Callithrix jacchus: one gene and its partners. The protein of the gene in region 4 purifies or fractionates together with the protein of the main gene of each other region. This does not show direct contact. Links are inferred from orthologs where the notes say so. Each region holds a gene or a part of one and is shown on either strand. Other genes may lie near its edges.

Evidence for each region. Proteins that work in one complex are often made in the same cells at the same time.
Region 1: the proteins of PPP2R2B (region 4) and IER5 purify together in Homo sapiens (affinity purification with mass spectrometry; 4 studies listed by BioGRID and IntAct, with this or other methods). This does not show direct contact. The link is inferred for Callithrix jacchus from reciprocal best matches to the Homo sapiens genes PPP2R2B and IER5.
Region 2: the proteins of PPP2R2B (region 4) and PPME1 purify together in Homo sapiens (affinity purification with mass spectrometry; 3 studies listed by BioGRID and IntAct, with this or other methods). This does not show direct contact. The link is inferred for Callithrix jacchus from reciprocal best matches to the Homo sapiens genes PPP2R2B and PPME1.
Region 3: the proteins of PPP2R2B (region 4) and IER2 purify together in Homo sapiens (affinity purification with mass spectrometry; 3 studies listed by BioGRID and IntAct, with this or other methods). This does not show direct contact. The link is inferred for Callithrix jacchus from reciprocal best matches to the Homo sapiens genes PPP2R2B and IER2.

What each region holds. Positions count from the first base shown.
Region 1 is NC_133519.1:39,363,148-39,368,464, forward strand, and holds IER5 (immediate early response gene 5 protein), read left to right. Parts: upstream 1-1,979; 5' UTR 1,980-2,190; coding exon 2,191-3,171; 3' UTR 3,172-4,146; downstream 4,147-5,317. UniProt on the Homo sapiens protein: Plays a role as a transcription factor. Mediates positive transcriptional regulation of several chaperone genes during the heat shock response in a HSF1-dependent manner. Mediates negative transcriptional regulation of CDC25B expression.
Region 2 is NC_133511.1:66,763,219-66,768,706, forward strand, and holds the start of PPME1 (protein phosphatase methylesterase 1), read right to left. Parts: upstream 3,472-5,488; 5' UTR 3,322-3,471; coding exon 3,221-3,321; intron 1-3,220. Other genes in the region: C2CD3 (C2 domain-containing protein 3), read left to right, coding at 3,643-3,712. UniProt on the Homo sapiens protein: Demethylates proteins that have been reversibly carboxymethylated. Demethylates PPP2CB (in vitro) and PPP2CA. Binding to PPP2CA displaces the manganese ion and inactivates the enzyme.
Region 3 is NC_133523.1:11,972,744-11,977,659, reverse strand, and holds IER2 (immediate early response gene 2 protein), read right to left. Parts: upstream 3,001-4,916; 5' UTR 2,869-3,000; coding exon 2,197-2,868; 3' UTR 1,172-2,196; downstream 1-1,171. UniProt on the Homo sapiens protein: DNA-binding protein that seems to act as a transcription factor. Involved in the regulation of neuronal differentiation, acts upon JNK-signaling pathway activation and plays a role in neurite outgrowth in hippocampal cells.
Region 4 is NC_133503.1:45,412,867-45,417,681, reverse strand, and holds part of PPP2R2B (serine/threonine-protein phosphatase 2A 55 kDa regulatory subunit B beta isoform), read left to right. Parts: intron 1-1,102; exon of another isoform or gene 1,103-1,295; intron 1,296-1,687; coding exon 1,688-1,881; intron 1,882-4,815. UniProt on the Homo sapiens protein: The B regulatory subunit might modulate substrate selectivity and catalytic activity, and might also direct the localization of the catalytic enzyme to a particular subcellular compartment.

The DNA of each region.
Region 1 (5,317 bases), on a different chromosome or scaffold from region 4:
GAGACAGAGTCTCACTCTGTTGCCCAGCTGGAGTCTAGTGGCGCGATCTTGGCTCACTGCAACTTCTGCCTCCTGGGTTCAAGCCATTCCCCTGCCTCAGCCTCTCCAGTAGCTAGAATTATAGTCGCCACACCCAGCTAATTTTTGTACTTTTTTTTTTTTTTTAGTAGAGATGGGGTTTCACCGTATTGGCCAGGTTGGTCTTAAACTCCTGACCTGAAGTGATTTGCCCACCTCAGCCTTCCAAAGTGCTAGGATTACAGGCGTGAGCCACTAGGCACAGCTGATTATCTTTATTTTTTAATTAAAAAAAAAGGCAGCACAGTGAAGTGAAATAATTTTCCAGAGGTCATGCAGCAAGTGAAAGGCAAATCTGGGATTCCAACCCAGGAAGACTGCCTCCACAGTCTGTGTTCTTAACCATTGCTTCATAGCAATGGTTAAGACCAATAACTTGCAAAGAAGAGAAAAGAGAAGAGAAAAATTCTTGCATTTTTACTCAATATATGCTACTTGGTTTTGTAATTATTTGTGACATTATTTTATCTCTTTCTCTATGTAAGCTGAAAATTCCTAGAGGGAAGGAGCTCTGGGGTCTCAGAGCTGCTACCTCAATTACCATCAATTGTGGGCACATCGCATCCCCTGGAGATTATGAATTGGTCATGATCAAGCCCACTCTTCACTGGTATTTTTCCTAAATAAATTCATTGCTTGGTCAACCCCTGGGGCAGGATCAGGCCCGGGGTTCCACATGGACTCCAAGAAAGCAGTGCTTAGTTTTCTCATTCAGATTGTGGCTGAGAGTTGTCATTTATCTTCTGTATAATAAAGCAGATGTGTATGTGACTTCCCCCTTTCCGCAGTGGAGACACTGAAGCGGCCTCAGGTTCTCAGGCAGGTCTGTGGTGGAGTTTGCTGGAACTAACTGGAACTGACTCTATGTTTCCAGTCCAGAACTCTGAGCAACCCTGTGGCAATTCTGCCCTAATACACTTATAAGGACCAGTAGATGGACTAAGGTGTTGACAGACCACAAAATTCTGGAACTCCCTTGCCCTGTATTTTTACCTTGACACAAAATGAAATTATGACATCATCATGGGAACACAGGACTTCTCTCTTTGTATTTTCAGAACTTGCTCGATTTTTCCAAGGGTACACTGGTCAGTCCTTGTAATGGAAAAAAAAAAAAATCATTGTGGAGAACCTGTAACACCTTCCACCTAACCTGTTTGATAACTAGCTTTGCTCTACAATCTGGAGAACAAAGTGAAAGATGCCAGCTTTAGACGACAACCAATAACTTTGTATCTAGACACAATTCCTTGATAAGCCAAAAAAGTAGCCAAAAACTTCTAGAATTCCCCTTTTCTTTAGGGTTAGAACTGACAGCTGCTAAGAGTGTATGTGACTCTATTAGGGAAAGCGGCTCGTCCAAAAATAATAACTGCCAAATACCGTGCAGTAATGCTATTTGTTATCCAGAAGTGTCCTACGCCGCGTATAGCCACCATCTCTATTTTAGAGTTGAGGGGGATGGCTCACAGGTGTGGCTGGCCTGGAAACCGTGGCGTGGCTGGTGAGGGCGGGGTCGATCACGGAAGGATCAGGACTTCATGGCAGAGCAGAGTCCACCACCACACTCGGATGAAAGTTCAAAGATTTTGTTCGCTTTGTTTCTGGCAAGCCATCACACAATCCTGAGTCTGTAACTCTAAACAGTAGCGCCCACGAGCACAGCCCCCGACCCGCACTCCCCCCGGCCCTGGTTGGCGGCCGCACACCCACACCGTAGCCCCCTTTAAGAGCCTGCTCCGCGGGACTAACGTTCGAACGGGCCCTGGCGCCCCTCCTCGGGCTCCGATTGGTCGTGCGCGGCGCACGAGGGCGCGCCGGCCAGCCTCAGAACGGCTGGCATCCCTTCGTGATTGGCGGTCGCGGAGCCTATATAAGGCACGGGACGGCCGGGCTGCCTTGTTTAGCGACCGGACCCGGAGCTGGGCGCTTGTCTGGTGTGGAGCGGCCAGCGGGACAGCGCGCGCGTCACCGCAGTCGTTTCTCTTCGGAGTCTTAGGCGATCGAGGGTGTACCCAGGGGCGGACTTGTTTGTGTTTCCCGTCCCCTCCCGGCTTCCGAACGTGACACCCCGTCACCCCGGCGCCGGCGGCCGTGTGCAGGGGACGCAGGATGGAGTTCAAGCTGGAGGCTCACCGCATCGTCAGCATCTCCCTGGGCAAGATCTACAACTCGCGGGTCCAGCGCGGCGGCATCAAGCTGCATAAGAACCTCCTGGTCTCGCTGGTGCTGCGCAGCGCCCGCCAAGTCTACCTGAGCGATCCGTGCCCCGGCCTCTACCTGGCGGGTCCCGCGGGGATCCCGGCGCCGCCGCCGCAGCAGCTCGGGGAGCCGGCAGCCGGGCCACCCGCCGGCTGGGGAGAGCCGCCCCCGCCTGCCGCCGGTGCCTCCTGGGCGGATACGGAGCCACAGCCGGAGGGCTCCGCGGTCTCAGAGGCGCCGCGGGTGGGGGACGCGGTGCCGGAGGCCACGGTGACCGGAGTCGGGGTCGTTCCTCAGGGCGGAGCCGCGGACGCGGCGAAAGCTGCCTGGAGCCGAGTGGAGGGGCCTCGCCAGGCGGCGGCCGGAGAAGCCGAGGGTCCCGCCGGAGGCTGGGGTGTTTTCCCCTTGGGGTCTCGTGCCTCTCGCCGCCCCTGCGGCTGCCCCCTAGGCGGGGAGGACTCGTCGGGTACACCGGCCGCGACCCCCCGCGCTGCCTGCTGCTGTGCGCCGCGACCCGCCGAGGACGAGCCTCCCGCGCCGCCAGCCGTGTGCCCCAGGAAGCGCGGCGCGGCGGGGGTGGGCGGCGGCCCAACGAGCTTCCCGGCGCCCGGCTCGACCCCGCTCAAGAAGCCCCGCCGGAACCTGGAGCAGCCGCCGAGCGGGGGAGAGGACGACGACACGGAGGAGATGGATACCGGGAACGTGGCTAACCTCATCAGCATCTTTGGTTCCAGCTTCTCGGGACTCTTACGGAAAAGCCCCGGGGGCGGCCGGGAGGAAGAGGAGGGAGAGAAGAGCGGTCCGGAAGCCGCCGAGCCCGGGCAGATCTGCTGCGATAAGCCGGTGCTGAGAGACATGAACCCCTGGAGCACAGCCATCGTGGCCTTCTGAGCCCCTGCCTCCGTGCGGGGAGGAGGTTGAGCAGCGGGCGTCCCCGAAGTGAGGGCCGGGACCCTCCCGGCTGCAGGGACGCCCAGAGACCGCAGGCGCTGAGCGCGTTGGGCAGACTGGTCGCCGCCGGGCATCGCAAACCGCCCCCGGGCGCGGGGGCCCTGCCGGCCCGGGACTCTCGAGGCTTTTCTGGAGACCAGGGAGCTTGAGGCTCATTGGAAGAGGACGATTGTTAACTTTTGTGTTTGTGTATGTCAGTGTGTGTAAGTTTGTCTTGTGGCATTAAGACTATTTTGTCCTTCTGGAATGCACCACTCCTTCCCCGGGGCTTACGAGACTGGGGGCAGACAGGGACTTTCCTCTGCCTACAGCGTGGAGAAGGAAGCGGCTAAAAGGTTTGGGCCGGGGAGTTCCCCATTCGTTCTCCGGAGAGCGAGGGACTTTACACCCACCCCTCACCGGAAAGCTAGACCCGCTTCAGGGCCAGGAGTGGCGTTTCCGCACAGGATTTCCTAAGACGAGAGGGATTTTAGCCACGAGCACCGACTTGAATTCCTTCCCTCCCTCCCCACTTTTCTTTCCCAATGAAGAAACGCTTATGTCCTGTGATTACTCTAGGAAAGGGGAGTATTAACGGCCCTTCGCTTCCCCGCAGGGGTGAAAAAGCTTGATGAACTTCACAGAAGAGTTCAAGCTTGGAAATACGGAGTTTATAGAGAAAAGATATATTTTTAAAAGCTCTAGGTCAGAACTACTACACAGTGCTTTTAAAAAGTGTTTAATGAAAGTTTACAGACAGAAGCCCTAAGTGAAAAGACCTTATGGTTTTGTAGATAAGGTGACTCCAGTCTTTGTTGTATAAAGGTTGGGGGAGCTGATAAGGTTTTTGTACAGTATTTTCTCCTTCGTTGTATTGATTTTTGTATAAAAATGTAACTTCTACGTGTCTAACACGTATTAAATATTTTGAAGCAACGTAACTGCCTCCTTGTCTGTAATAACCTGCCTGGGTTGGGAGGGAAGTGGGAGGAGGGAAACCAGGGCCTGTGCTAGAAAATTGAAGGTGTGGTTCTTGGTATCAGTCACTCGCAGACTGAGGACATTGTTTACTGACTCCACCAAGTATCAAGAGAGACACGTTTAGTTTTTTCTTCTAGATCAGAGGGCCGCTATTAGATAGTAATATCACCGACCTGCCAGGGTCTTGAAACCTGCCATTACAACTGCCTTTTGTAAGGTCAGTTTAGGCCAATTTGACTGTCACCAATACATGGGTGTCCATTTTATTAAGTAATTTAAGCAACTTTTGAAGCCCTGCTCATCCACAAAAATGTTTTTCAGCTTAGTTTCCTGTTATATGGATCATCTTTTCGCTTTATTATTGAAAAAAATTTAGATAGTAGTAGACCTTAAAAGCCTGATGCAACCGACATAGGAAGCTGAAAGAGACTGACTTGTCCAAATTGTCAGGTCCCCCTCTGCATCTCAAAGGGTGTCAGGATGTAAATGTTCAGTTTTTCTCATCTATAGAAAGGAAATGTATAGGTGAAAGGGAAACTGCATCAAACGAGATAAGGAAGGAGGGCATTCTCATTTAGCAAAACTTCCTGATTTGTTTTTGTTACTCAAAAGGTGACATCAGTGTTTGTGTCATGGTAGAAACTTAGGTGATGACAGCCAAAACATTCATTGATTTTACTAAAATCACTGTCATTAAGAGAGCTTTCTGTCTCTTCATCTTCAGTGTTTGAAAGGTATTCAATTTATTTCAGAAGCAAACCGATTAGGGAATGTTTATTAAAATACGGTACAGTTGCCAGGACTTCTTATGGTACTGGTTTCTAACAATTTATGAGTAGGGTGTTTAAAAGATGGGAGAGATTGAAGAAAGAGACAAAGCTTTAAAGGTCATAGCCTTCGAGCATAAGAAACATGAATGGTGCATTGGCCTTAACTGTGAATTATATGAACTTCTGTCATAGCTGAATAGGCCAGTGCCTGGTGCCTTGATATTTCGGCAACTCTATTAGCAGTCACTTAAGCCTAGGGACCTTTCTACTTCATGCTCTGTCACCAGCATAATGTGTTTATAGAACTAACATTCTCAAAGTAGGATCTTGTTAAATCGACTTTTTCTTTCAGAAAG
Region 2 (5,488 bases), on a different chromosome or scaffold from region 4:
CTTTCAAGTAACAGATAGATGAGGGAGTCAAAGAATGGAAGTTAAGAAAAAAGCAAATGAGTATAAGATGACATAAAGTAGGCTTTGAAATTGGTGTGAGACATTGTAAATCATGACTGACTGAATAAAAAGACTGAATCCTAAATTATTTGCAAAGGAATAAGATACACAACTCAAATTAAGTATTCCCAAATGACAATTATGACTCCAAAATACACAGTGGGTCTCACAGTCAGGGGACCCAAGTCCTAGTCTTTAATGGCCCCACTGCTAAGCTTCTAGGGTGCCTTAGGAATATGTGAGTCTCAGTTCGCTCATTTATTAAGAGAATATATTTCCCCCATTCCTTATAGAATACAGAACTCTCTGAATGTTGGGTTCCTCAATTACATGATGAAGTGGTGAAATGAGACCATGTCTACACTCTCTTTCACCTTTATGATTCTAAGGGGAAAGATAATCTATATTATTACTACCATGAGACTTAGATGAAGCCTGCTTATGTACCAATAAAATCAAAAAGAAAAATATGGGAAAATAAGCCATTTGAGGACCACACAAATATTCACCAATATATGTTCTTCTCTTCACAATATTATCATAAAGAAAAACGTTTGTAAAGAACTTTCTTTCCCAGGACAAACAGTTAACCTAAACCAGGAAGACCAAAGCATCTGTTTAAAAAGGATAAGTTGGGGACTTGGATGAATCTGGAAGCCATCATTCTCAGCAAACTGACACAAGAACAGAAAACCAAACACCGCATGTTCTCACTCATAGGTGGGTGTTGAACAATGAGAACATGTGGACTCAGGGAGAGGAGCATCACACACTGGGGGCAGTGGGGGGTGGGGAGGGATAACATGGGGAGAAATGCTGGATATAGTATACACCTAAAGTAAAATAAAAAAATAATATAAAATAAAAATAAAAAATAAATTTGAGAGACAAAAAAAAAAGAAAAGGGTAAGTTGGCTAGACATGGTAGCTCACTCCTATAATCCCACTACTTTGGGAGGCCAACTGGGGCAGATCACCCGAGGCCAGGAGTTCAAGACCAGCCTGGCCAACATGGTGAAACTGCATCTCTACTAAAAATACAAAAATTAGCTGGGTGTGGTGGTGCATGCCTGTAATCCCAGCTACTTGGGAGACTGAGTCATAAGAATCACTTGAACCCATGAGGTAGGAGTTGCAGTAAGCTGAGATCATGCCACTGCACTCCAGCCTGGGCAACAAAGTCTTGCTCTATCTCTAAAAAAACAAAATGAAAAGTAATAAAAAAGAAAAAGGATAAATTACTAATAATTATGCAATCTTCTAATCAGCAGATTTTCCTTTTATTTTCTCTCAGTATTTTCACCCAGTTCTTCAATCTTCAGAGAACTTGTTTTGACAAAGTGAGAAGCTAAGCTCTAATTAAACTTATCTTAAAAATGTATAATTATTAAAAATTTGCTTTTCTTATGTATTTGTATAGAAGAGTGCTGGTATACTGAAAGATCAAATTTTAGTTTAAGAAAGGCAGAAATTAAGATATATATCCACAATTACTGTTACATTAATATTATACTCCAGGTTAATTTTCCCAAATAATGTTATGGGTCGGTTTCCAAATTATCTTTATTCATGTCATAGTCCAATCTTTCTGTCTTCCAAAGCGAAAACAATCTTCACTTTACCTACTATGTAGCTTTCTACCTCCTCTACTGTGCATCCATTTATCTATCTTCTGCTAAAGTTTTCTCATTTTTCTACTGTGTCTCATAGCAGGTCTCCACTTCAGTTCTTAGTTTCCTTCCCTGTTTTTCCCAACCATTCTTCCCATTCCTTCACCCCAGTTGTATAGGCTTCTCCTTTCTTTTCATCCCCAGGACTTACTGTCACAGTACTGCATCACATATTCTCACCTCCTTTTTGATCAGTTTTTACACGTATTACTTCTTCAGAACCTAAGGTTTCTCTTCTGTAGTCCTTTTTCAAAGAATATCTACCAATTCATCTCTAGAATCCCAAATACACTCTCAATTCCTCATAGCTAAGTATTCTTCCTACTCCTTTTCTCTTTACAGTCACTAATTCCCAGAATCCTGTCTGAAACTACAAATATCACCTCAAAATGAAATACTTATTCAATTCTCTCTGCTTTCCAGCAATTACTTCTCCCAGGTTCACCTCATTCTTTTTCCTTGGCCCAAGTATCCCCTAACCTGGCACAAGCCATTTGATGATATAAAATTTCAAGGCCTATCTCTTCAACACAGTTTTCTTCCTTTTCCAGCAAACTTATTTCCCCAAAAACATTTTAAGTGGTTACTCCCAAAGCTTCACTAATTCAAGGTCTTAGGCCAGTACATCACTTCCCTCCAGTCTATTGGCCCAGCAAAAACTGATTGCCCGAAGTTTCCTCTTTAAGCTTCCCATACCTTACAACTGCAGCACTTCCATTCAACAAACCGTATTTATAGTCATTTCTCAATCTTCAGAGCCTATGGTCACTTTCTAAATTCTTTAGTCCTCTCCTTCTTCTCTCTCTCCCATATCCTGTCCAGTTTCTCAGCATATTCCTATTACCTTAACAATCTTCGTGGCTATGTTCTCCACCTTACCTTAGGCCCTCTCCCCAAACTTTCTCATTCTCCCTTAAGACACCTAATCTCACCTCTCATTCCCTGCATCTGCCTTTACACCTCTGGGAATTCTCTAGAATCGTCTGCTTCCTAGTTCTCCTCTTTCCTTCTCCAACCCTGTCTTAGGTGTTCTCTATTCCCCTCAGCTTTTCTAATATCTAGTTCTCACAGTGTAGATATTAGAAGTGTGATAATATCTACTCCTCCCAAACCTTTTCTTAGTTGTTGCCCCAATTCCCCTCAACTTTTCTCTGTCATTCCCCACTTCCCTCCACCTTTGTCACCGTTCTACTCCCTTTTCTATTTTTTCCGGAGGCGATTCTCAGATCCCTTATGTTACTCTCAGCTTCCCTAATTTTGCCTCATGCATTTCTACCGTCAATAACGTTATTTTTCCTCCAATTTCCATTGATTTGGCGCCTCCCCTAGTCCCCCAATCTGCCTTCTACTTCATCTAAATGTCTCCAGGCCGCCGTCAACATTTTCTCCTATCCGTAGACTCCTTTCCCGTGCCTCTCTGGACGCCCAGAGACACCATTCTCCAATGGCTGGGGCCTGGCCCCTAGGGAGAAGGGGTATGGGTCACGTACCCCATTCGCATCTTGGCTCCGCTCTGACTGCCCCCGCTGCCGGGCAGGGGTGGGCGAGAGGGAAGGCGGCCGAGGTGCATGCTCTTTTCGAGGGCCGACATTAAGGGGAGGTTGCACGCACGTAGTCAAACAGTAGGCGAAGCTTCGTCCCACGTTGAGTGTGGCCCAACCGGTCACGGCTCGCTCGCCTAACGACGTCCTGTCGCCTTTGGACAGCACCCAGATACCGGTAGCACCGCCTACCGCCCACCGGCTCCGTAAACTCCACCCACTCGCTTCAGCGCTTCCACCGGAAGTGCGCAACAGCCCTTCCACAAAGGAAGCTGGGTAACTGAGTCCGTGAACTTCGAAGTCTCCCAGCCGGGAACCCGACGACTTTCACCGGAAAGAGGAGCGCTCTTCAGGGCAATGCACCCTGGGCAATGGAGTCCTCGAAGGGCGTATCCCTATGCGCTTGCGCAGCTGGAGGCACCGCCAGCCAACCCCGCAGAGGTAGTGTAGCAAAGCATCCTGGGTATTGTAGTCTATTGTAGGGAAGACGTCTTGGCGCCTTCTCTTTGCACCGTTGTCCGGAGTCTGTTAGAGGAAGAGCGCTTCTTTCTGCCTCCCAGGCTGCACAGCGGCGCCAGTTGCCGGGGAACGCAGGCGCGGTGGGGAGGGATGGCGGGAGGATATTGTTTAGGTGCTGGAGACGGAGTTGAGCTTGTAAAGAAAAGCTCGGGCTCGTCATGAAACAACGAAAAGGCCAAGGGCCTGGGGGCAGCCGTGGGCGCAAGAAAAGAGGTAATCCGAGCGATCAAAGATTGAGGAAAGCGTAATAGTGGAGCAGAATGTAAGGAATTTTAGGGAGACCCCCCCACCCCCGCTGACTAAACAAGATAAGGGACGGAAGAGGGGAAATAGCCAGGGAACCAGAAGGTTAAAAGGAAGGGCAATTGGCCCTCCAGAGAATGGAAAGGAATCAGGGGCTCGGGTAGGGGCCACAGAGTGGTGATAAATGCGGTGCGATGAGGGTTACCGGTAGGATGACTAAAAGAGAAGAACAAACCGTAGGAGTGGTTTTGATAACGAAGTTAAATGTGTGTGTGTGTGTGTGTGTGTGTGTGTGTGTGTGTGTGTGTGTGTGGTTTTAGAGATCCACAGGGACAGGAAAGAACATAAATTGGCAAAGGGATTGTGTCATTGCTGGTGTGATTGTGGGCAAGGATCACGGTTACTACATTACTGAATGACCAAGGACTACTACAAAGCAGTACTCGGTAAATGTTAGTTGAATGAATGAAGCGTGAAGGGCTATGAGCAGGAGTTTGAGAAAATAATTGTGGAGTCTAGCGTGGGGAAGAAAGGAATAAAAGGTGTGATAGGATTGGAGTCGGGGTAAGGGAATGAGGATCTCCTGAAGGACCTGAGATCATGAAAGAGAGCGCAGAGAGCGCTCATCAGGTTAGCAGCTGAAGAAGACACAAGCTCACCAAGTAGGTGACTGCAGTGAAAACAGTCACCCTAGAAACCCAGAGTAGATCAGGAAACTGGACATTGAATCTCTACAAGGCTGCCTTGAAGGAAAAAAGGACTACCCTGCCTTTTTGCATTGTAGGCGGTTTAGTGAGAAAAGAACACTGGGAAGAGTGATAGGACTTTAGGCCATTGGGTTGAGGACTGAAACTACAATCTGGGAATTACTCTTATCCAAGCTATTTAAAGATTACTAAGGCAGTTTTGAGGTAGTGACTTTCTTGCCACGGCGAAAGATAAGAGGATCTGAGGCTGAAGTATGCTAGTGCTCCCTGTGTCAAACCAGTCAAGCAAGTTTGGTTGATAAGCAGAAAGTCAAAGTAGAAATAATATTACACAGTATAGATAGAATGTACTTTTTCCTATACTATTTACATATGCAGAAATATACACACAACTATGTATAATTTTTATGTTGAAATTATCCATAAGGATTATGGTGGGTCTTTTCTCCACTATGGAGGGCAGAGGGGGTGTTTGCATTAGAAGTCCAAGTAATTAGTTGTATAAATTCCTGATCTGATACATTCCTTATATTTTCTTCCTATGAAACATAACCACTCCTCAAAGAAAAGTCAAAGAAAAAAACGTGTACACAATATAAGAATGGTTTCTTAAATCTCTAAGTCTTCATGAAAAGGTACTGTGAATGGAAGACAATCAGGGTTATTAAAAGAACATTTTATAGAAAGTCAAGATTAATCGCTTTGTTTACACTTTAATGTCTTTCTGAAATCCAAGAAGTACTAAAGC
Region 3 (4,916 bases), on a different chromosome or scaffold from region 4:
CGGACTTCCCCGGGCTGGGCCAGGCCAGGCTCGCAGGGGAGGAAGTCCGACGCGGGTGCAATGAGCTACCGCCTGTAGTGTGCGGCTCCAGTGCCCGCACGTCCCGTGGGGGAGTTGGGTGGGTTAGGACTCGGAGTAGGTGACGCCTTTTAAAAGTTCCCCCACGTGTTCCCAAGAAGGAATCAGGCAGCCGTGGGGGCGAGCTTGGCTAGGGGAGAGCGGTGAGAAGCTCTCCTTCACAATCCACACGGGAGGGGAAAGGGGTGTGGATTGGGCGGGAGAGGAGCCAGGGCGCCCAGATTCCACCAGCAGACGATTTGGGGCTGGCCTGCCCCTCCTTCTACTTTCCGGTCTTGGGGGTCAGTTCCCCTGGGGTAATGGGAAGCCAGCGGCGGCCGAGCCAGCCGTCGGAGGGGCGGGGCGAGCGCTTTCCCGGCGCCTCCCGCCGCCACCACTCCCCGCACCTGGGACTCCTTTGTCTTCCTGCCAGCCCTCCTCCCTCCGCCCTGGGCAGCGCCTACAGCCCCACTCCTAAACCGACGTGGGGGATATTGAAAGGACTTTCACCTCTCGGGGTGGCTATTCTCCAGCTGGGGAGTGACCCAAGCCAATAACTAGGGCTCCAATGGGCATTTTTAGAAACCTAAAGCCGGGTGGAGAGAAGCTGCATAGAGGCCCATTTCACAGATGAGGAAACTGAGGCTGCATCTTCCTTCCTAAGCCACACAGCGATGACCAGGTAAAGGGCCCCTCAAAGCGCACCCGCTCAGCTCCACCTGAGGACTAGGACCCCGGCCGCAGCTGATTCAGTTGATTAAGGGGGTCGTCGGGGCGGGAAAGCAGGTGGCGAGATCTGCCATCTTTCAAGCAAAGTGTGATCGATCCCCAACTCTGCTTGGACACTGTGCTTGGCAATACCCCTCAAACGTCTCAACTCAGAAAACCCCCTATCCCGGAGTTGTAGAACAATTTCAAGGGAACCCCCAAATCTGGTGGGCTGGGGCTCCACCAGCTAGGGAATGCCCGGGCGAGGAAAAGGGGGCCCAGCCCTCTCCCGCCCACGTGGTAACCAGTCAGACCGGTTCCTGGGGCCCCAGCCGGCCGCCGCCAGCCCCTGACCCTTTAACCCCGCCCCTCCCCCACCAGAGCAGAAAACCAGACAGCACCGGCCTTTTTACTCAAATGCTCTTTTATTTTCCTGACATTTCTAACAAAACGCCAGGTTAGACGGAATTAAAAAGAATCCACCGCAGGAAAAGTAAACAGACCCTCAAAAACTCCCTGGTGAAGATGTCCCCCTCCCCAAACTAGCCCAGTTTCACCAGCAACTGGTCCCAGCTCAGCCTTATGCCTTTCTACTGCCACCCCCCCACCCCTCCATAGTCTCGTGATTCAGACCAGGAACATCTGGGTTGTGTCCGTGTCTGAGGGAGGGGCACGCTGGAACCTGGGGAACCTCCTAGCCACTCCTAATGCACCAGATGAGAAAATTTTGAATGTGAAACTACATCAGCTCCCGCTCCCACCCGAGGTGCAGAGGCGCGGGACGTCAACCAGCAGCACGCGGGGGTGAAGTGACTCAGGCCACTCTCCTCCCACTCTCCAGGGTGGGTCCACGCACCAGATCCTCCTCCCAGGCCCCACACCCACGCAAGGCGACAGGAAACTCCCCACGCCTGCCCCATGACGCAACGATGACCGTTTACAAAAGTATGTCAGTGGAGGGGGAAGGGGAGCGCCAGGAATTCTGAGGTTGGAAACGCAAAACCAACTCTTGAAAAACCTTCAAAGGGCCAGCACAGCCCCCAGTACAAAATGAAGTCCGACCCTGAGATCTTAAAAAAAAAGCAAACAAACAAACAAAAAAAACCCCAAGCCTCCCTTCTCCCAGTCCAGGAGTGAAAGGTCCACGTCCCAGTTCACTAAGACAGCACCTGTGGGCGCAGCAGGTCTCTGCGGAAGGCGCCCGCGCCCCCGGCTCAGACTCCTCGGTGCCGTCGCTGCACACTGAAGGCGACGGCTCCCTGGGGACAGAGTCCCTTCTCCGGGCCTCTCAGCAGCCCGGGCGGCGGCTTCTCTCCACGGTTTTCGCGGGCGCTCCCCTCGGGAAGGAGGGGGTGACCTCGCCTCGGATCTGCGCCCTGGGGCCGATGGTTCGACGCGCGCTCTGGGCTCTGGCAGCGCTGCTCGGGGTCCTCAAAAGGCCACCACCGTCCGCACCAACACGTTGAGCATGCTGTCCGCGGGGCGGCAGGCTGGCTTTGCCTCGCACGCGGGCGGCGCCGTCGGAGGGGCTGCGGGGCTGCAGTTCAGAAGGCCCGAGAAGCGCCTCTGCAGGACCCGGGCCAGGTTGGGAAAGGCGCCCTCCGCTTGCGCCGGAGGGGGCTGCAGGCGATCGGCGACCTCGGATGACAGCCCCTCCTCTTCCTCCTTTTCTTCCAGACGGGCTTTCTTGCTCGGGACGAGTCCGGCGTCCCCGCCGTCCCTCAGGCTGCTGCTGCGTCGTTTGCGGCTGACTTTGGCGGGGCGCGGGGCAGAGTAGGCGGGGATCTCCTCGGCCGTCGGAGCCTCCTGCGTGTCCATGGGCTCCGGAGACGGCTGCTCGCCGTCGGCGGTCGCTGTCTCGACCGTGGACTCGACTTCCCGGGGCGGGTGCAGGCGAGGGTCAGAGGGGCAGGCGGGCGGCAAGGACACCTCGGGTTCGAGGGCCTCCACCTTGGCCGAGAGGTAGAGTTCCCGGGCGCTGCGCATGACCAGCGACAACTGCAGACTTCGGTGCAGCCGCAGGCCACCGCGCTGCATGCGGGAGTGATACATCTTCCACACCGACAGGGTCATGATGCGCTGTGCCTCCTTCTGCACTTCCATGGCGACTCGACGGCGACGGCAGCGGGGGCTCCCTGGACGGACAGGACAGGCGGCAGGTGCACTCCGGACAGCGGGCTCGCTAACGCCTCTCCCCACGAACCAACCCACGCAGTGACACTGCTAGGACGCTCTGCCCCGGCGCCCGCCACCCGGGCCCTTTTATACCCCCAGTGACGTCACAGACGCCCCGCCCAATCCGAGGGACGCATCCGGGCTTTCCAACTCAACGCGACCAAACATTCCTTAAAGCGACAGAATGCGATTTACCTAGCAGGGAAAGGGAACGGAAACCTTAGCGAGGAGGAGCGTCCCCCTACTCCACGCTGAGCTCTCCGGTGGGCTCCTTTTTTTGAGCTCCGCCTGGGCGCGTTGGCCCAGAGGAGGGGGTCCGGGGATGCGGCTCAGGGCCCATCCACATGCTCGCCGTCTGGGGGCCCCAGTGGCTCGTGGGCGGCAAGTTTCCCTTCACACAGGGGAAGACCCGGCTTCCAGCCTGAACATCCCCTGTAGGCACTGTTCATAGCATTTACCAGGTGTGTCTAGTGAGTGTTTTCTGCACCAATAATCATGCTAACAGCTCTTACTAGTTACCAGGCGCGGTTAAGAGCGCTCCTTTTATCAATAACTCACCGATCCCTCACCTCCACCCCGCGGAGGACACTGTCCTATCTGCTTCCTTCCAGTGGGGAAACCAAGGCAGAGTCACTGGGCCAGGATATGCTAAACAAACAATATTTGCTACTGCTGTGAAAGGAGGCCACTGGGGCCTCCAGCTCTTCGGTCTCTAGGGTACGCCAGCCCTTGTTTGTAAACGGTGAGCCGCCCCGAGCTGCGGGTTTCCGTGATTCCTACTGAGCCATTCCCCCCGCAGTTTCCCGCGACAGGAGCTCCACGGGTGGGTTTGGAGGAAACCCGGCGCGCACGACAGCCCCGGTCAACACGTGGCTGCCGCCCCCCCCCCCAGACGAGGGGACCGAGTTCCGCCTCCGTGCCCCGGGAGGCGGGGTTCGGTTGGGAGCTGGAAACCCAGCAATGCAGAGACAGAGCAGGTAGAAAACCTCCCCCTACCCTCCGCTACGCGCCGTCTCTCCAAGAAATCCTAATTTCAATTCCTCCAAAAAAGGATGAAAAATTGTTCGAATGGCTCCATTCATTCCCGATACGGGCCCTTTAAGGAGTGGCGCGACCCCCACTTCCCGCCCGCACTGGCTCGCAGCTCCTTCCCGCCACCGGCGCCCGCTGACTTCCACAACTAAATTTGGACGGAGTGACGTAGGACAGTCGCGCGGTCCGCTTCCGGTTGCCCATATTAGGACAGGGCCTGTGATCGCCATAGCCGGCGGCAGCCGGGCTTCCGGGCGGGCTGGAGGGGCGGGGCTTTGCACTCCGGCCACGCCCCCCCCTCCCCGGCCCCGGCAGCGCGAGCAGGCTGGAGCCCCAGGCTTCCAGACCCGCAGCCAGCCGGGTGGGTGGGAAGGAGAGTTTCACTTCCTTCCCTCCTGGGGCCAGGAAAGCACCCCGCAGCGGGTAGGGGCGACCTCAGGGCTTCCACGTACGCCATCTCACAGACACGCTACAGAACCACCCTGCATACACAAGAGACGAGCCGCTGAGGCCCCCTCATCCCTTCTTTCCCCTTCCCAATTATTTCCCCCATACAAAGCCCCCTCCCAGGTTATCCCTGTCCCCCGCCCCACAGTGATCTGTCTTGGGACACCCTCCCGTCCTGCCCTCCCCCCGCAGGTGGGGACTCAAGAATTATTCCCCCCAAAAAGACCCTTTCTAAACTTGTCCCCATTCAACGAAGCTGCCACCTGAGGAAGACGCCCCCGTCCCCACCCCAACCTTACCACGGAGACCCCCACAGTGACTTCCCCAGCCCAGGCACCAGGCACTACCTCTGAGAGCCCACACAACAACTCTGACGCGCAAGGGGGCGACCCTCTGAGGACTCCCTCAGACAACCCGCCCACCCTCCAGGGGAGACCAGGCCCCCCACCACTCAAAACGTGCTTTCTCAAGACTCCCCTCACCACCCAATACACAGA
Region 4 (4,815 bases):
CCCATTGAAAAATACCTTCTACAAGATGAAACCTAGGAAATGTCTTTTCCAAATTGGCTTTCTAGTGATCGGGGTTTATTTCTTTTCCAAATTGGCTTTCTAATGATTTGGGTTGCTTCATTAAATGTTTTTGGTTGTTTCATAATAATGATGATCTTATTTTCTTTCAAAAGTTGAGTTTGAAATTTTGGAAAACATGGGTGGGGGTGGAATTCTATATTTTTTTCCTAGTTGAAGTGGGAAGACAGGTCTCTTTTCTGTATTAATTGGTTACCAGAAAATCCCCCCAGGTAGCAGTGGCTCTCTGGGCACAGGGCTCTTATGCTTATGTTCCTGTGCTTCAATGTATCTTCCATGCTGAGAGCAAATGGAAGGTGTTCCTGCACCCGCAAAACGTAACAGAGGGGCTGCCTACTTTGTCCACAACGAAGTGCAAAGGGCAAGGGAGAGTGGACTTTTTCAGACTGACCCTGTTGACTACATTCATAACTCAGTCATACGCTTTTCTCCACCTGTGTAGACACAAATGCTTTATTGAATACCAGCCTCCTACAGTTAGATATTTGACTTTTAGGAATGGAGGAGTCAGTTACAAAGTTCTGGCCCCTGCTCTCCCTTCCATTTCTAGTACAGAGGGCTTAAGATAGGCTCTGAGCAGCGCTTTCCACTCACTCCTCTTTTTCTGAAGCTTGGAGCCGTAAACCTTATCCTTTAACTTCACCAAGAGACTACATGCATCATATAAGGGTGAGCAAAAGGGACCTGGATGTAGACTTCCTGACTATCCAAAGGAACCTACTTCTCTTTGCTGTTCTCAAGTGCAGGTGTCCGGAGAAAGGCAGTGAGCTAGGGGCTCTAAAGTGCTAGCGTAGACGCGGCCCTTAGCTGAGTGGCCCGAGAGGGGAGGAGGCTGGAAGAGCGTGTCTATACGTTCCATGTGAACCTGCAAGCTAGCTGCTTGCTGCCCAGGTGCCAGTTCGCGGCAGCTTGCGCCCCACTGCAGCAAAGAGCAGCCGCAGCCTCTGCCTCGGCTACCACCGCTGCTGGGAAAGAGTCCTGGGGCTGCTGACGCGGTTGGGAGGAGCCTCGCCTTTAATGCACCAGCCGCCTCCAGCCTTCTGCAGCAGCAGCAGCAGCAGCAGCAGCAGCAGCAGCTGCTGCGAGTGCGCGCGTGTGGGTGTGAGGGTGAGTGCGCTGGCGCCGGCCACAGCGCCCTGCCCAGATCCCCGCCAGCTTCCCTACCCCCGCCTGCCGGAGCCGCCCTCCCGTGGGACCAGCACCCTCATCCCGGCCAGGCAAGCCTGAATCCTGCCCCTGCCATCTCGCCACTGCAGCGGGTCCAGAAAGGCACCATTTTGTCGCCTCTGCCCGCTCTTCCAGGGGGAGGAGGGATCTTTTTTGCATTTTGGAGCGGCTGCCAACGAGGGGAACCTGTTGGGCATCTCCCCAGCCCCGCCTGTGAGCGCCTCCCGGGCGGGCGGGCGGGACCAGACCCCTCGGGGCACTGCACATCTTGGCACCCGGAGGCAGCGGAGGCAAGCGCAGCATCCTCGCTGGGAATTGGAGCTGGAGTGAGCGCACCGCGCGGGAGGAGCCGCCGCAGCCTCACAGAACCCGAGTGGAGGAGGTGACAGCTCCATTGCCGGGTTTTTATTTTTTTCTCTCCGCCTCCCCGTCTCCTCCTCAGGCTCGGACCATGGTGCAGTCCCACTGGCTCCCCTGCCCCCCTCTCCTGTGAGACTGGCTGCGGGGAGGGATCATGGATACTTGTCTGCCGGCTTCTGGTTCCCACGCAAGTAAGCCTGCTGTCAATGGAGGAGGACATTGATACCCGCAAAATCAACAACAGTTTCCTGCGTGACCACAGCTATGCGACCGAAGGTAACGCCAGCCCCGCCGCATTCCGCCGCTGGGGCCGGGCGCAAGTTGCGGATCACTGTGCTTCTCGGGCAGCTGGGCGCGTAGTGGCGGAGACTCCTCCGGGCCCGGGGCTGGGGCGGGGGCTCGGCTGGCCCCGGCAGCCGCCTGTGCGCCCCGCATCCATCCGGGCTCCCCGAGGCGAGCCCGGCGTTCAGCAGCAGGTGGACCCGGCGCCCACGGGAGTTAAAATGGCCCTCAGGGATTAGGCTTTTCAGGGTGGGGCTCTAGCCCGAAAAGATGACCCCAGGAAGGCAGATGACCCCTCCCCCTAAGATATTTGCAGGGGTCTTTGGGGCAGATAAAAAGGGAGGGGCCCAGTAGGACCTTGGTCCCCCCTCCCTGAGCGAAACGATGTTGTGTCTCACAGTGGCTGCAGGGAGGGCATGGTTTCATTTCCTGCCCATTCATCTCCCCGGTCGGCCAGGTTACCTGCTCAGACAATCAAAATCCCAAAAGGCCCTTTGCAAACGGGAAAACCTCTTTTCTTTTGGAAGTGTATTAGCAGAAATAAAAAGGTGGCTGGAGAAATCGTGCTCTGGCGGCTAGCGAATGAGGCTGACACGTGGGGCGAGCAACGCGATCGGTGGGGCCTTTAAAAATCACCATTATGAATTCTGCAGCAGTAGTTTCTGCTGAATCAACAGCCAGCAGAAAGCAAGAGGGTTCAGCAGGCTGAGCTTTGCCAAGAGATGAAATTGTCGTCTCTCCCTCTCTCCCAGTTTGTTCTGACATTTAGCCCTAGTGCTCTGCGGGCAGGGAGGGAAAGTCAGCAGGTGGAATCTCATTCTGCCTTTTGTGTGTGAATAGAGAGTAGAGGCATTTTTCCCCCAAAGCCAAAACTTTTGCATTTTTGCTTTCATTTTCTACCTGTAGGCCTTTATCCTTAGCCTTCATACAAAGTGTTACATTACCACATTATAATATCCACGCGAGAAAATGTATGTGGAAGTGCTTTAGGACAATGTTGCAAAGAGTGTTAATTTAAAATTATTATTCTTAGATGCTAAAATTTCTGTAATATTTAATCAAATCAAAAGATGCCTAGAGAAATGTGATGGGGGGGAGTAAAAGGGTTCAAGCTCTGAAAGACATAAAAAGATGCACACACATCTGGGGACAAAGGTGGCATCTTCTATAAACATCCCTGGAAGTTCTAGCTAGAGGGAATGCCCAGTGGTATTGAAAGTATATTCTCCATTTGTCATCATTTTTGGAGAGCATCAAGCCTAGTATGCCCATGGTGCTAGACAGATAAAGCAGCGTTGTAAGCTCTGGCCTCTAGGAGCTTAGAGGTGGCTTTTAAGATGTGCAGACCATCCCTCCCCTATACAGAGCACCGTACTTACCAATTCTTTTTCTGCACATGATGGCAACCTGATTGTAAGATGTTCTCCCTCAGTCTTAGTGCTTTGTCACTGACTCAGTGACCTGATAACATATGACTAACTCTGTATCTAAGCATGTCATCCAAGAGAGAAGTTGCCTTGAGTCTGTTGGCTCATGCGGGAATATTTCTTTCTGTTTGTAACCACAAAGAAAGAGAGCCGCCTTCATGTTTTCTTGTATATTACATTATGCAGGCAAGGGAAACTTAGCAAGCTGAGAAAATGCCCAAAGTGGAGATATGTGTATAGGAGTGTCAATTGTGAAGAAATCAGTTAAAAATGACATTCTTTATTGCTTTCAGGGCCCTGGGTATTACCTTTGTTCTTATTTTTATTGCATTTTTGAAAATTCTGATTCTGGATAGAATAACTAGGTTCATATAGTCAAAAATTAGATATGAGTTTATAGCAATGAGCTTTCGGACATGTAAGAATTAATCTTTCAGATTTCCTTCTTTTTCTCAAACACACACACACATACTAAATGCACTCAAAACTAACAAACCTTTATTTCACAGTAGCTTCCAGGTTTTAAAATCTGATTTTAGAGAAGGTATGGAAATAAAAGGAAAATATAACTTAAATGATGTAAATAGCAGAAGTTGGATAGAGCAAGAAGTTCTCTATGGTTTTGACCTATTTGCTTCAGGGAAGATTCATGCAATTTTCCTGCCAGAGGGGGAAGAGTCCCTGTTCCTCCAATACCTTAAGACATGTTAGCATACCTTGAAAGAGCACCAGATCAAAAGAATCTTTGTTAAAATTCTCCTCACTGGGAACTTGCCCCAAAAGTTTTCTTCCCCTTTATGAACTTATATCTACTTACTGGGTGGGAAATTAGCTTCTAGGTCCTTCTACAGATCTTGCTTTTCTGGTTCTCTTAATATTTCTACAGTTTCCTCCTACCTGCTCAGTTATGTCAGATTGTTCTTTTTTTCCCTCCAAAATATCTCCTTACATGTATTTCTGAATTTTTCTTCCATTTGCTCAGATCATTCCACATTGCAGTGTTCTATTTAAAGCTGAAAGATTTGTGCTGTGTAGTTAGTGTGAAGGACTCTAAACTCAATTTGCATTGTAAGTGGTGGCTGCAGGCAAGTTCATCCAGCTAAGAGCAATGCAAATGCTAAAGGACACTTTCACCCAAACTCCCCTCTCTCAGTCTCTCTCCCTCTCTCTCTCTTTCAAAATAATGCATGATGTGCATTTATTAAAGAAATTTCCTAGGACTTTTTTTTTAAATTCTGAGCATGAAAATTACTGCCCTCCCCTACCTTTCCCTATATTTCCTCCTCTTTGAAGTTAACATCTTTGAGCATCTTCTATGAGCATCCAAACACTGTGCCGAGCTCTTTATGTATAGCATTTCAGTATATCTCAACCCTGTTAAATGGATGCCATTATTTCCATTTTCAAATAAGGAAACTGATGCAACCGAAGACTGGAGATGTTACTAATTTGCCAAAAGTCACACATACAGAGGAAAACCTTGTCTTTAAACTCAAGCCAG